Linked DNA regions of Saccharomyces cerevisiae S288C. The protein of the gene in region 1 binds, or shares a complex with, the protein of each later gene. Each region holds a gene or a part of one and is shown in the gene's direction. Other genes may lie near its edges.

Evidence for each region. Proteins that work in one complex are often made in the same cells at the same time.
Region 2: ORM2 (region 1) and SAC1 share a complex: the UniProt entries of both Saccharomyces cerevisiae proteins name them as parts of the SPOTS complex.
Region 3: the proteins of ORM2 (region 1) and LCB1 are in contact, whole or in part, in a cryo-EM structure (PDB 8QOG), measured with the Saccharomyces cerevisiae proteins. Residues at the interface, in NP_013454.1 of Saccharomyces cerevisiae: Pro37 (codon at 1,919), Val38 (codon at 1,922), Thr39 (codon at 1,925), His41 (codon at 1,931), Arg42 (codon at 1,934), Arg43 (codon at 1,937), Arg45 (codon at 1,943), Gln55 (codon at 1,973), Glu56 (codon at 1,976), Glu59 (codon at 1,985), Asp60 (codon at 1,988), Glu61 (codon at 1,991), Asn62 (codon at 1,994), Gln64 (codon at 2,000), Gly133 (codon at 2,207), Gly134 (codon at 2,210), Ala135 (codon at 2,213), Asp137 (codon at 2,219), Glu148 (codon at 2,252), Thr149 (codon at 2,255), Leu150 (codon at 2,258), Tyr151 (codon at 2,261), Pro153 (codon at 2,267), Arg155 (codon at 2,273), Lys156 (codon at 2,276), Leu159 (codon at 2,285), Ile163 (codon at 2,297), Phe166 (codon at 2,306), Leu167 (codon at 2,309), Asn170 (codon at 2,318); in NP_014025.1 of Saccharomyces cerevisiae: Arg56 (codon at 1,969), Val59 (codon at 1,978), Glu60 (codon at 1,981), Leu63 (codon at 1,990), Ile64 (codon at 1,993), Tyr66 (codon at 1,999), Gly67 (codon at 2,002), Tyr70 (codon at 2,011), Tyr71 (codon at 2,014), Ser73 (codon at 2,020), Lys74 (codon at 2,023), Gln76 (codon at 2,029), Gln77 (codon at 2,032), Lys79 (codon at 2,038), Ser80 (codon at 2,041), Leu81 (codon at 2,044), Gln82 (codon at 2,047), Lys227 (codon at 2,482), Arg228 (codon at 2,485), Gly229 (codon at 2,488), Arg250 (codon at 2,551), Ser251 (codon at 2,554), Thr252 (codon at 2,557), Val253 (codon at 2,560), Tyr254 (codon at 2,563), Tyr255 (codon at 2,566), Leu280 (codon at 2,641), Pro281 (codon at 2,644).

Annotation. Positions count from the first base shown.
Region 1 is NC_001144.5:826,920-829,942, forward strand, and holds ORM2 (sphingolipid homeostasis protein ORM2), read left to right. Parts: upstream 1-1,810; coding exon 1,811-2,461; downstream 2,462-3,023. Other genes in the region: DIC1 (Dic1p), read right to left, coding at 58-954; NIT3 (putative hydrolase), read right to left, coding at 2,570-3,023. UniProt on the Saccharomyces cerevisiae protein: Component of the SPOTS complex that acts as a negative regulator of sphingolipid synthesis. Acts by inhibiting serine palmitoyltransferases (LCB1 and LCB2) activity.
Region 2 is NC_001143.9:32,555-36,976, forward strand, and holds SAC1 (phosphatidylinositol-3-phosphatase SAC1), read left to right. Parts: upstream 1-1,988; coding exon 1,989-3,860; downstream 3,861-4,422. Other genes in the region: DOA1 (Doa1p), read right to left, coding at 1-1,553; TRP3 (bifunctional anthranilate synthase/indole-3-glycerol-phosphate synthase), read right to left, coding at 4,145-4,422. UniProt on the Saccharomyces cerevisiae protein: Phosphoinositide phosphatase which catalyzes the hydrolysis of phosphatidylinositol 3-phosphate (PtdIns(3)P) and phosphatidylinositol 4-phosphate (PtdIns(4)P). Has low activity towards phosphatidylinositol-3,5-bisphosphate (PtdIns(3,5)P2).
Region 3 is NC_001145.3:858,653-862,694, reverse strand, and holds LCB1 (serine C-palmitoyltransferase LCB1), read left to right. Parts: upstream 1-1,803; coding exon 1,804-3,480; downstream 3,481-4,042. Other genes in the region: carboxypeptidase C PRC1, read right to left, coding at 1-773; GSR1 (Gsr1p), read left to right, coding at 3,805-4,042. UniProt on the Saccharomyces cerevisiae protein: Component of serine palmitoyltransferase (SPT), which catalyzes the committed step in the synthesis of sphingolipids, the condensation of serine with palmitoyl CoA to form the long chain base 3-ketosphinganine.

The DNA of each region.
Region 1 (3,023 bases):
TCTTCTTGCTTTCTTTATTTGCTATGTATCTTTATGTTTATATGTATATAAATCTGCCTACTTGTCTTCCTTTGGCATGCCAACCCTATGTTTTTTCAATTGCTCAATTGCAAAGAAAATTAACATTGTGAATGGACCCAGTCTAGTGAAACTTGGCAACCACCCCCGGAACATGAAAGATGGGCCCTCTTTGCGGACAGCGTCGGCAAGGATCTTCAAAGCCGGTTGATGGTCTCCGCTGCCGTTCATGATACGTGTCTTCATGACGTCTGCTGGAGAGCACACAGTGGTGGCCACCAGGCCAGCCAACAGGGACGCTGTCAAGTGTGTATAGTTCTTGGATGCGTCGAAATCTAATTTTGTGACCAAGTAGTTCTTAAACACGTCATACGTAACGACCTGACTTGCCGTCATCAGTATGCCCCTAACCATGTTAGGCTTCCAACCGGTAAACAAGGTTTTCAGTCCACCCTCGTAGCGATATATCTTGTACACACCATCGATAGCGTTTTTGTAGTTTCTCCTCTTCGCTGCCTCCAAAGCAGAGTCGTTTTGCATTCTGATATTTACAACATCTGCAAAATTCCCTGCAAGCCCCCCAATGGCACCACTGAACATGGAGCAAGGTAAAAGATACGCCATGTTAGTCAATTGCTCGCGTGGGATCACATTCTCTTTCAACAAGTCGTATGCACCGAATCTCACCGTCGTGTATGTACATTGCCTCAACACAGCAGCGCTCAGGCCGGAATATAACCCCACCACACCTTCATTCGCCAAGATACTCTCCAACATCCTGAAGAGTGTGGGCTTGGGCATAGGAGCCGCCTGCAGTCTGACTTTGGCCAAGTCAAGAGGATGTGTCACCATGGTAGCAAAGATACCCGCTGCACCTCCGTACCACCATGGATACTTGATATTCTTACCGGCAGACTCTTTTGCGTTGGTTGACATGCCGTCCAGCTGTTGCGTTATCTTTTCGACACTTTCAGAGCAAGAGAAACGAACCTCTACACATAAATATGCATACGATTATGTATATCCATATATATATATACACTACAAGCCGACCGCCCGACCGTTTCCTGCCCCCAACATTGCAGCGTAATCGCTTGCCAAAGACCACACCTTGCAGCCCTTTTATACAAACATGTCTACGACGTACAGTGGAGAGGGCCCTTTCCTTGGCACTCAACTGAGATTGCGACGCGATACCTTCTGCGACCGTTCCTACTATCGCGGCCATAACTCCAACAACGACAGCGGATGCGCTGTTCTGCGGATGCGTGACCGTATCCGCAAAGAACGAAGATTAAATTTAGGGTCCCCGGCATTGAGGATGGTTCTGCCAAGAACTCACGATATAAACCAGTTGGTTGAGCATCGCATGGATGAGTATGGCGTATTTTGATTGCTCATATATAGTGGGGGGGAATACTCATGCTGTGAAAAGCACAACTCTTTTCACTCAACGAGGTTAATGCCTTCTTTGTCTCCACGCCGTTTTTTTCTGGCGCCCTTTTGAGAAAGATAGCCTGTCCCGTAATCGTGGCTTTGGCAGAGACAGAGGGTGAGCGAAAGAGCGGGCGAAACCGAGAATGGATTCCGAGTAAAGGATTGCGATGGCATGAAACAAAACCGAGAGGCACTCCTTGTAAGGACACACATACACAGACGTAAACATATATATACATACGTATACTCAAATATATCTTCGTATCATTAGGTCAGCTTCTCTCTTCCGCACGTAGAATTAGAGAATTAACGCAAGACTATACCATTATAAAAACGCATAAGAAACAGTTTCATCATGATTGACCGCACTAAAAACGAATCTCCAGCTTTTGAAGAGTCTCCGCTTACCCCCAATGTGTCTAACCTGAAACCATTCCCTTCTCAAAGCAACAAAATATCCACTCCAGTGACCGACCATAGGAGAAGACGGTCATCCAGCGTAATATCACATGTGGAACAGGAAACCTTCGAAGACGAAAATGACCAGCAGATGCTTCCCAACATGAACGCTACGTGGGTCGACCAGCGAGGCGCGTGGTTGATTCATATCGTCGTAATAGTACTCTTGAGGCTCTTCTACTCCTTGTTCGGGTCGACGCCCAAATGGACGTGGACTTTAACAAACATGACCTACATCATCGGATTCTATATCATGTTCCACCTTGTCAAAGGTACGCCCTTCGACTTTAACGGTGGTGCGTACGACAACCTGACCATGTGGGAGCAGATTAACGATGAGACTTTGTACACACCCACTAGAAAATTTCTGCTGATTGTACCCATTGTGTTGTTCCTGATTAGCAACCAGTACTACCGCAACGACATGACACTATTCCTCTCCAACCTCGCCGTGACGGTGCTTATTGGTGTCGTTCCTAAGCTGGGAATTACGCATAGACTAAGAATATCCATCCCTGGTATTACGGGCCGTGCTCAAATTAGTTAGTTGGCTCTGCCTATACGCATATATGTATATATATATATATATATATGTATGTATGTGTATATGTATATGTACGTATACCTTACATCATCATCTTTCTTTATATTCTCTCTAATGCGCATTTACATCGGAGTACACGTCAAATCTTCTTTGTTTGGTTAAGGGTACCGCTTGTCTAAATGACTCAATGACTTCGGGATCTAATTCAGCATAAATAATCTCTTCTCCCTCGCCAGCTTCAGCTACAATCTTGCCTCTAGGGTCCACCACTATAGAGTGGCCATATGCATGGTAAGAACTCTGTAGATTCCTTGCGGGAGAACATAACATCACGTACACTTGGTTGTCAACTGCCCTGCTTCTTGCCAGTAAATGCCAATGCAAGGGCCCTGTGACAGTGTTGAATGCACTAGGGTAGATCATGGCAAACGCACCCTTGCGTGCACTTAGCATTGCGAGTTCCGGAAACCTCATGTCATAGCATATACCTACGCCAAACTTACCATATTTCGTGTCAATGGTAGTAGACTTCTCTCCAGGGCTCAAGGTTTCACTTTCATGGAAC
Region 2 (4,422 bases), on another chromosome or scaffold:
AACTCCCAGCTTTCATCTATGTCATGTAGTGCGCCACCAATTTGCGCCAGAATTTCATCATCAAAGGTCTTCTCATTTGAATTTATTTTTACTATTCCATTGAAAATAGTATCTGGGTTATAATTTTCCATGATAAGATACTGCTTGACAGGAAGAACCTTCATTACGCTCGTTTTTGAAGGTGATACTGCAGAAGATGATGCATTATCGTTGGGCTGGTCTAGCGATATGCCATTAGTGTTCTTCAGTATGAACTGTACTACTTGATCCCTATAACTCATTGGCAGTTCATAACGAGCCAAAAAATTGTCGGCTGCTGTATATGGGTTGTCGCTGACATTAATCGGCAATTTCAAGGGAGGTTTTCCATCTTCAATATCCACATCAAATACGTAGTCATACGTTTTACCCTCGAATTCTATTTTTTTGTCGTTTCCAGTAGCACCTGCACCGACAACATCACCAACCTTTTTCCATGAAGAATTTGAAAATTGATGAGCTTCTATAGTACCTTGAGGTGATTTGACTACCACAATTTGACCCTCTTTGCGCCCCGGCGATTGTAAAATTTCATAAGGTGATAGTTTAGACTCATCAAATTCTATTGTCTTGGAACTTATAGTGGATTTTTCCACTTGCGTAGATAGTTCATTTATTTCATCCTCGGAAGCCCATCTTGACTTCTCTTGCGAAAATATTCTCACAAGATTATCACTACTTCCCACAATAATATCACCATTAGACATACAATCAACGGACCAAATAGAGATGGCAGGAAGTGTAATTACCTGCTTTAACGAACCATTTTCCTTTGACCATATACGGACTGTTCGGTCTTCGCCGCAGCTTACAATATCTCCATTGGGCAGCAGTTTAATGCAATAAACAAAGCTTTCATGGCCTTCATATGTTCTTAGTACGTCACCTGTATGCATATCAACCAACTTGATGAGGCCATCGTTTGAACAACTGATAAAATGGCCATCATCCACCACAGCTAAATGTCTTACTACATCATTGTGAATCCCACTGAAAGTTTTGATCACTTTATCGTTTTGCCACAGTTTAATCGTCTTATCGGCGGAAGCTGTCAAGAATTTATTTTCTGAGAAGGATACGACTTTGGCATCCCATACAGAGGCATTGTGTGCTTGCAAATTGTAAACCAACGATCCTTCTTTCCAAACCTTTGCGGTTTTGTCCCAACTACCGCTTATCACAACACCATCTTGGAAGGATAAACTACAAACGTTCCCTTGGTGGCCAATCAAGGTATACAAGGGATCCTCTCCTGAGGTGGCAAACAAGGGCACACCGTTGATCATAGTATCCTTACCTCCAAAAAGCAACAACTCCTTCTCGGAATCATAACACACACTATTTAAAAATCCTTGTCCTGTATAAACTACCGTACCGAGCCATTGGTCATCTTTAGACCACAAGCGAACTGTTCCATCCCTCGAAACACTAGCAACCTTTGAATCATCCACAGCTACCACATCCCTGACGTCCTGATCGTGCCCTTTAAGTGTTGCACTCAATTGATATCCCATACTCCAAATCTGCTGCTCTACACCTTACTATCACACATGAATATATATATATAAAATAAGCCAAGACAGTGGCCTTCCCTTATTATCAGCGTACTAAAATCTCATATGATTTATTTTTCGTGGTCCTGAACGAGTGTGAAAAATTTTGAAAAACTCGCAAAGGAAATGCCAAGGTCAGCAACTTTCTCGACGTCCAAGCCTCGCTCCTATTGTTTTAGTAACCTGTAGACCTTCAATATTCAAGAGCTTGCACACGCACGCATTGCTGCACTACTGCTTACCCACACTACAAATTTAATTCCAGCTTATTGAAGTTGAAAAGGCAAGGGAAAAATACCACAGGTTTAGATAAGGAAATAGGAGAAAGGATTAGAAACCATATCCCTATAACAGTAACGATAATATTTATATACACGTATATTTTCTCGTCTAGATATGACAGGTCCAATAGTGTACGTTCAAAATGCGGACGGTATCTTCTTCAAGCTTGCTGAGGGCAAAGGAACTAACGATGCTGTTATTCACTTGGCCAATCAAGATCAAGGTGTTCGGGTCCTTGGAGCAGAGGAATTTCCTGTGCAAGGTGAAGTAGTAAAGATTGCGTCCTTGATGGGGTTCATTAAGCTAAAGTTGAACAGGTATGCCATTATCGCAAATACTGTGGAAGAGACCGGTAGATTCAATGGCCACGTTTTCTATAGAGTGTTGCAACATTCTATCGTATCTACCAAGTTTAACTCGAGAATCGATTCTGAAGAAGCCGAATATATCAAGCTACTGGAGTTGCATTTGAAAAATTCCACCTTTTATTTTTCATACACATATGATTTAACAAATTCCTTACAAAGAAATGAAAAGGTTGGTCCTGCAGCCTCCTGGAAAACCGCTGATGAACGATTCTTTTGGAACCATTACTTAACTGAAGATTTGAGAAACTTTGCTCATCAAGATCCTAGAATTGACTCCTTTATACAACCTGTTATCTATGGGTATGCCAAGACAGTGGACGCCGTTTTGAATGCCACCCCTATCGTTCTTGGTTTGATTACCAGACGTAGTATATTTAGGGCGGGCACAAGATACTTCCGTCGTGGTGTTGACAAAGACGGTAACGTTGGCAATTTCAATGAAACTGAGCAAATTTTACTCGCTGAGAATCCAGAGAGTGAAAAAATACACGTTTTCTCCTTCTTACAGACAAGAGGATCTGTGCCAATATACTGGGCTGAAATCAACAACTTGAAGTACAAGCCAAATCTTGTTCTTGGAGAAAACTCATTAGATGCGACAAAAAAGCATTTTGACCAGCAAAAGGAGTTATATGGCGACAACTACTTGGTTAACCTAGTCAACCAAAAGGGCCACGAACTACCCGTGAAAGAGGGCTATGAATCAGTCGTGCACGCGCTAAACGATCCGAAGATTCACTACGTGTATTTTGACTTCCACCATGAATGTCGTAAGATGCAATGGCATAGAGTGAAATTGTTAATTGATCACCTGGAGAAATTAGGTTTATCTAACGAAGATTTCTTCCACAAGGTCATAGACTCTAATGGTAACACCGTTGAAATTGTTAATGAGCAACATTCCGTTGTAAGAACAAACTGTATGGATTGTTTGGACAGAACAAATGTCGTTCAATCTGTTTTAGCCCAGTGGGTTTTGCAAAAGGAGTTTGAAAGTGCCGATGTCGTTGCTACTGGAAGCACTTGGGAAGACAACGCTCCATTGTTAACTTCTTACCAAAACTTATGGGCTGATAATGCAGATGCAGTTAGTGTGGCATATTCGGGCACTGGAGCTTTGAAGACCGATTTCACAAGAACCGGTAAGCGTACACGTCTAGGTGCATTCAACGATTTTTTGAATTCAGCATCACGTTATTACCAGAACAATTGGACTGATGGTCCAAGACAGGATTCATACGATTTATTCCTTGGTGGATTTAGACCACATACCGCTTCTATCAAGTCGCCATTCCCCGACAGAAGACCAGTGTATATTCAGCTGATCCCAATGATCATTTGCGCAGCCTTGACCGTTTTAGGTGCTACGATATTTTTTCCTAAAGATAGATTTACCAGCAGTAAGAATTTGCTGTATTTTGCAGGTGCGTCGATTGTCTTGGCGCTTTCAACCAAATTCATGTTTAAGAACGGTATTCAGTTTGTCAACTGGCCTAAGTTAGTAGACGTTGGGTTCTTGGTCGTTCATCAAACGCATGATAAAGAACAACAATTCAAAGGTTTGAAATATGCACAGAGTCCTAAATTTTCCAAGCCGGATCCTTTAAAAAGAGATTAATGAGTTCTATATGTGATAAAATGATGATTATTGTAAATCCAAAACGTAAAACCGAAAATATGATAAAAACGAGAAAAAAAGTAAGTTAAAAAATAAAAAAATAAAAAAATGAACGCCGGCCCCAGAGGGAAGAACAAGCTATTTATTTTCTTTTTTACTTTATCTTTCATGGTCATATATATATATATATATATATATATATATCTTCTATAGGCTACTATACATGAAGGCGTTCGCCCTTACAACGTTAAGTTTTTTTCCCTATTGTACCGTGTAAGTTTCAATTATTCGCATAATTCATGAATGAACTTCTTCACATCGGTTGATTTCATTAGGGCTTCACCCACTAAAAATCCATGGACACCTTCTTTTTTGTATTTTTCAGCATCGTCCCTGGTGGTAATTCCCGATAGAGCAATTAGAAGAACATCCTTTGGAATAGATTCTACCAAGTTACTGGTGGTATTTAGGTCTACGTTGAATGAATGCAGGTCCCTATTATTGACACCTACAACTTTAGCACCAATTTCTAGAGCCCTTTGTAATTCCTCTTTGGAGTTCA
Region 3 (4,042 bases), on another chromosome or scaffold:
TAGGATTCCCCAGCGATGTGGAAATCTTGGCCCTTGTTGACGTATTCAGGGAACTGATCGAAGAACAACTCCAAGAAGTTATAGACATCCTTACCAGCGGCGACAGTGTTGGAAACACCTGAGGACCCGGAATACGAGAACCCAACGTTGACAGGCTGGTCAAGGAAGATCACGGTGGCATTGCTGTTCCAAGAGTAAGGGTTCCCGATGGGTTTCAAATCAGGTCCAATGGATGAGGGTCCTAATTCAAAGAACAGCCCGGTTAGTGAAGAACAACCTGGACCCCCGTTCAACCAAAGGATGACCGGATCCTTTGCAGGATCGTTTCTACTTTCAAAAGTCCAAAAGAAGAAATGCTTGTCCTCGTCTTCCACATCCAAGTAACCCGTGTACTGTGTGACATTTGGGTCAATGCCCAGGATTTTAGGGTCCTTAATCTTGTTGACACGAAGCTGATAGTTTTCAATTGCGTCATTCTTGACCACAAAGTCCCAGTCTTTCTTCGTTTTGATTGCTTCAGGGAATTTTGGCTTAGTGGAAGTTTCAAGGCTCATAACCTGGTTTGGGTACAAATGCTCTATTTGGGCCCAAGCGTCCAATACATTGGAGTCCAACTCCTTCAAGAGATGATCCAGGTCGAGGTCCAAACCAAATTTTTCCGCAGCTTGCAGCAAAACGTCCTTATCTAGACCCAACGGTCTTTGCAATGAGATGGCCTTAGCGAGTGTAGTGGACAGGCCTAGTCCACATAGTAAACTGGTGAATGCTTTCATAGCGTATGTATACTTTAAGTTGAGTAGAAAAGAAACAATCTCTAGTGAGTATTCTTTCTCTCTCTCTCTCTTGTCTTGTTAAGACTAGGAGGGAAGACGAAAAGAATTATTTCGGAGCTTTTTTGCTGGCATTCTTATCTCGTGCTTTTATTAGTGGGCCCCTTCTTTGAGACCCCGCGGGTGATATGGCCCCTGTCTCAATGATGGATAAAGTTGTTGGAAGCAATTACCAAGACAATCACAAACGAAGGTTGCTACCGAAGTGTACTGGATGACCAACATCGCTATGATTAAATAAGACTATACATAATAGACAAGGGTGGCGCGGCTCCATTCCCAGGGAGACACAAACACGAGGTAAGTCTCAAAAAACCGAAGTTTCGCTCTAAAACTGCACGTAAAGGTCGTGGTATTGACTACAACCATTGACTGTTACATTGTGTAGAAGAAAGGTCCTCACATACTGCTCTGTCAATATGGCTTCTTGTGCAGAAGGTCAATATGTACTATTTCCATGAACCCACAAAATAAGGGAAAAAAAACACTGGAAATAACCGCCACACATACCGTATAAAAGTACATCTCTTTATACGAGTTACTTACTAGACCCTAACCAATGCCTTCAAAAAACAGGACAGACCCTAAAAACTACCATAAGAGACCTAACATATGTATCATCATATACGGAAATCGATTTCGCGTATTTTTTTTTTTTTGAGGCGCCATGATTTCTTACACGGTTTCTTTTTTTTTTCCTTCTTTCCTTCTTGCTTCTCTGCTAACAAATTTTTCACTCATTCTTTTTTATAGGGGCATATTGCTGCGGTTAACTGTAGTGAACGAAAGTAAGATTGAGAAAATATAGTACTTAAGAAAAAGAAAAGGAAAAATAAAAAAAATTCTTTTCAACATCATCGAGTAGCACAGTATAAGAGCGCTCTAACCTTCTGCCTGGCCTCCAATATACACATTTTGCTCGTGTAGGGTTATTTATCCTTTTTTCTTCCTTCCCACCCAAAAAAAAAAAGCAATGGCACACATCCCAGAGGTTTTACCCAAATCAATACCGATTCCGGCATTTATTGTTACCACCTCATCGTACCTATGGTACTACTTCAATCTGGTGTTGACTCAAATCCCGGGAGGCCAATTCATCGTTTCGTACATCAAGAAATCGCATCATGACGATCCATACAGGACCACGGTTGAGATAGGGCTTATTTTATACGGGATCATCTATTACTTGTCCAAGCCACAACAGAAAAAGAGTCTTCAAGCACAGAAGCCCAACCTATCGCCCCAGGAGATTGACGCGCTAATTGAGGACTGGGAGCCCGAGCCTCTAGTCGACCCTTCTGCCACCGATGAGCAATCGTGGAGGGTGGCCAAAACACCCGTCACCATGGAAATGCCCATTCAGAACCATATTACTATCACCAGAAACAACCTGCAGGAGAAGTATACCAATGTTTTCAATTTGGCCTCGAACAACTTTTTGCAATTGTCCGCTACGGAGCCCGTGAAAGAAGTGGTCAAGACCACTATCAAGAATTACGGTGTGGGCGCCTGTGGTCCCGCCGGGTTCTACGGTAACCAGGACGTTCATTACACGTTGGAATATGATTTAGCACAGTTCTTTGGCACCCAAGGTTCCGTTCTGTACGGGCAAGACTTTTGTGCCGCACCCTCTGTTCTGCCTGCTTTCACAAAGCGTGGTGATGTTATCGTGGCAGACGACCAGGTGTCATTACCAGTGCAAAATGCTCTGCAACTAAGCAGATCCACAGTCTACTACTTCAACCACAACGATATGAATTCGCTAGAATGTTTATTAAACGAGTTGACCGAACAGGAGAAACTTGAGAAACTGCCCGCCATTCCAAGAAAATTTATCGTCACTGAGGGTATTTTCCACAACTCGGGCGATTTAGCTCCGTTGCCTGAGTTGACTAAGCTGAAGAACAAGTACAAGTTCAGACTATTTGTTGACGAAACCTTCTCCATTGGTGTTCTTGGCGCTACGGGCCGTGGGTTGTCAGAGCACTTCAACATGGATCGCGCAACTGCCATTGACATTACCGTTGGGTCCATGGCCACCGCGTTGGGGTCCACCGGTGGTTTTGTCCTGGGTGACAGTGTTATGTGTTTGCACCAGCGTATTGGTTCCAATGCATATTGTTTTTCTGCCTGTTTGCCGGCTTACACCGTCACATCCGTCTCCAAAGTCTTGAAATTGATGGACTCCAACAACGACGCCGTCCAGACGCTGCAAAAACTATCCAAATCTTTGCATGATTCCTTTGCATCTGACGACTCCTTGCGTTCATACGTAATCGTCACGTCCTCTCCAGTGTCTGCTGTCCTACATCTGCAACTGACTCCCGCATATAGGTCTCGCAAGTTCGGATACACCTGCGAACAGCTATTCGAAACCATGTCAGCTTTGCAAAAGAAGTCCCAGACAAACAAATTCATTGAGCCATACGAAGAGGAGGAAAAATTTCTGCAGTCCATAGTAGATCATGCTCTTATTAACTACAACGTTCTCATCACAAGAAACACTATTGTTTTAAAACAGGAGACGCTACCAATTGTCCCTAGCTTGAAAATCTGCTGTAACGCCGCCATGTCCCCAGAGGAACTCAAAAATGCTTGCGAAAGTGTCAAGCAGTCCATCCTTGCCTGTTGCCAAGAATCTAATAAATAAAAATAGAAAGCCAGTATATGCACACGCACATATATATATAAATATTTATACAATAATACAAATAATCGTAACATCATCTCTGTCAAATTGACGTGGTGCACGGCGCCCAGAGAATGCGCTAAAAATTTTCGGATCCGAAATTTTCTTTCCTTTTACCATCGAGGCAAAGCAACCTGTATTATTTATTTGTTTATTTATTAATAGAAAAGAAAGGAGTACTTTCGTGGTACGCTTTCTTGAGCATTTTCGGTTTCACTAGGCAGAGAACTAACACAAGAGACACAGCAAACATCAAACAAGGTTAAAACAGCACACCAAGGCAATATGATGCATTTTAGAAAGAAATCCAGTATCAGTAACACGAGTGATCATGACGGAGCGAACCGTGCCTCAGATGTCAAGATTTCTGAAGATGACAAGGCAAGATTGAAGATGCGTACTGCTTCCGTTGCTGATCCTATTCTAGACGCTGTGCAGGAAGCCCAACCTTTTGAACAAGCTGCTGATACCTTCCACGACAACATGAACAGACAATCTTATTTTTCCAACGAAGAAGGTCATG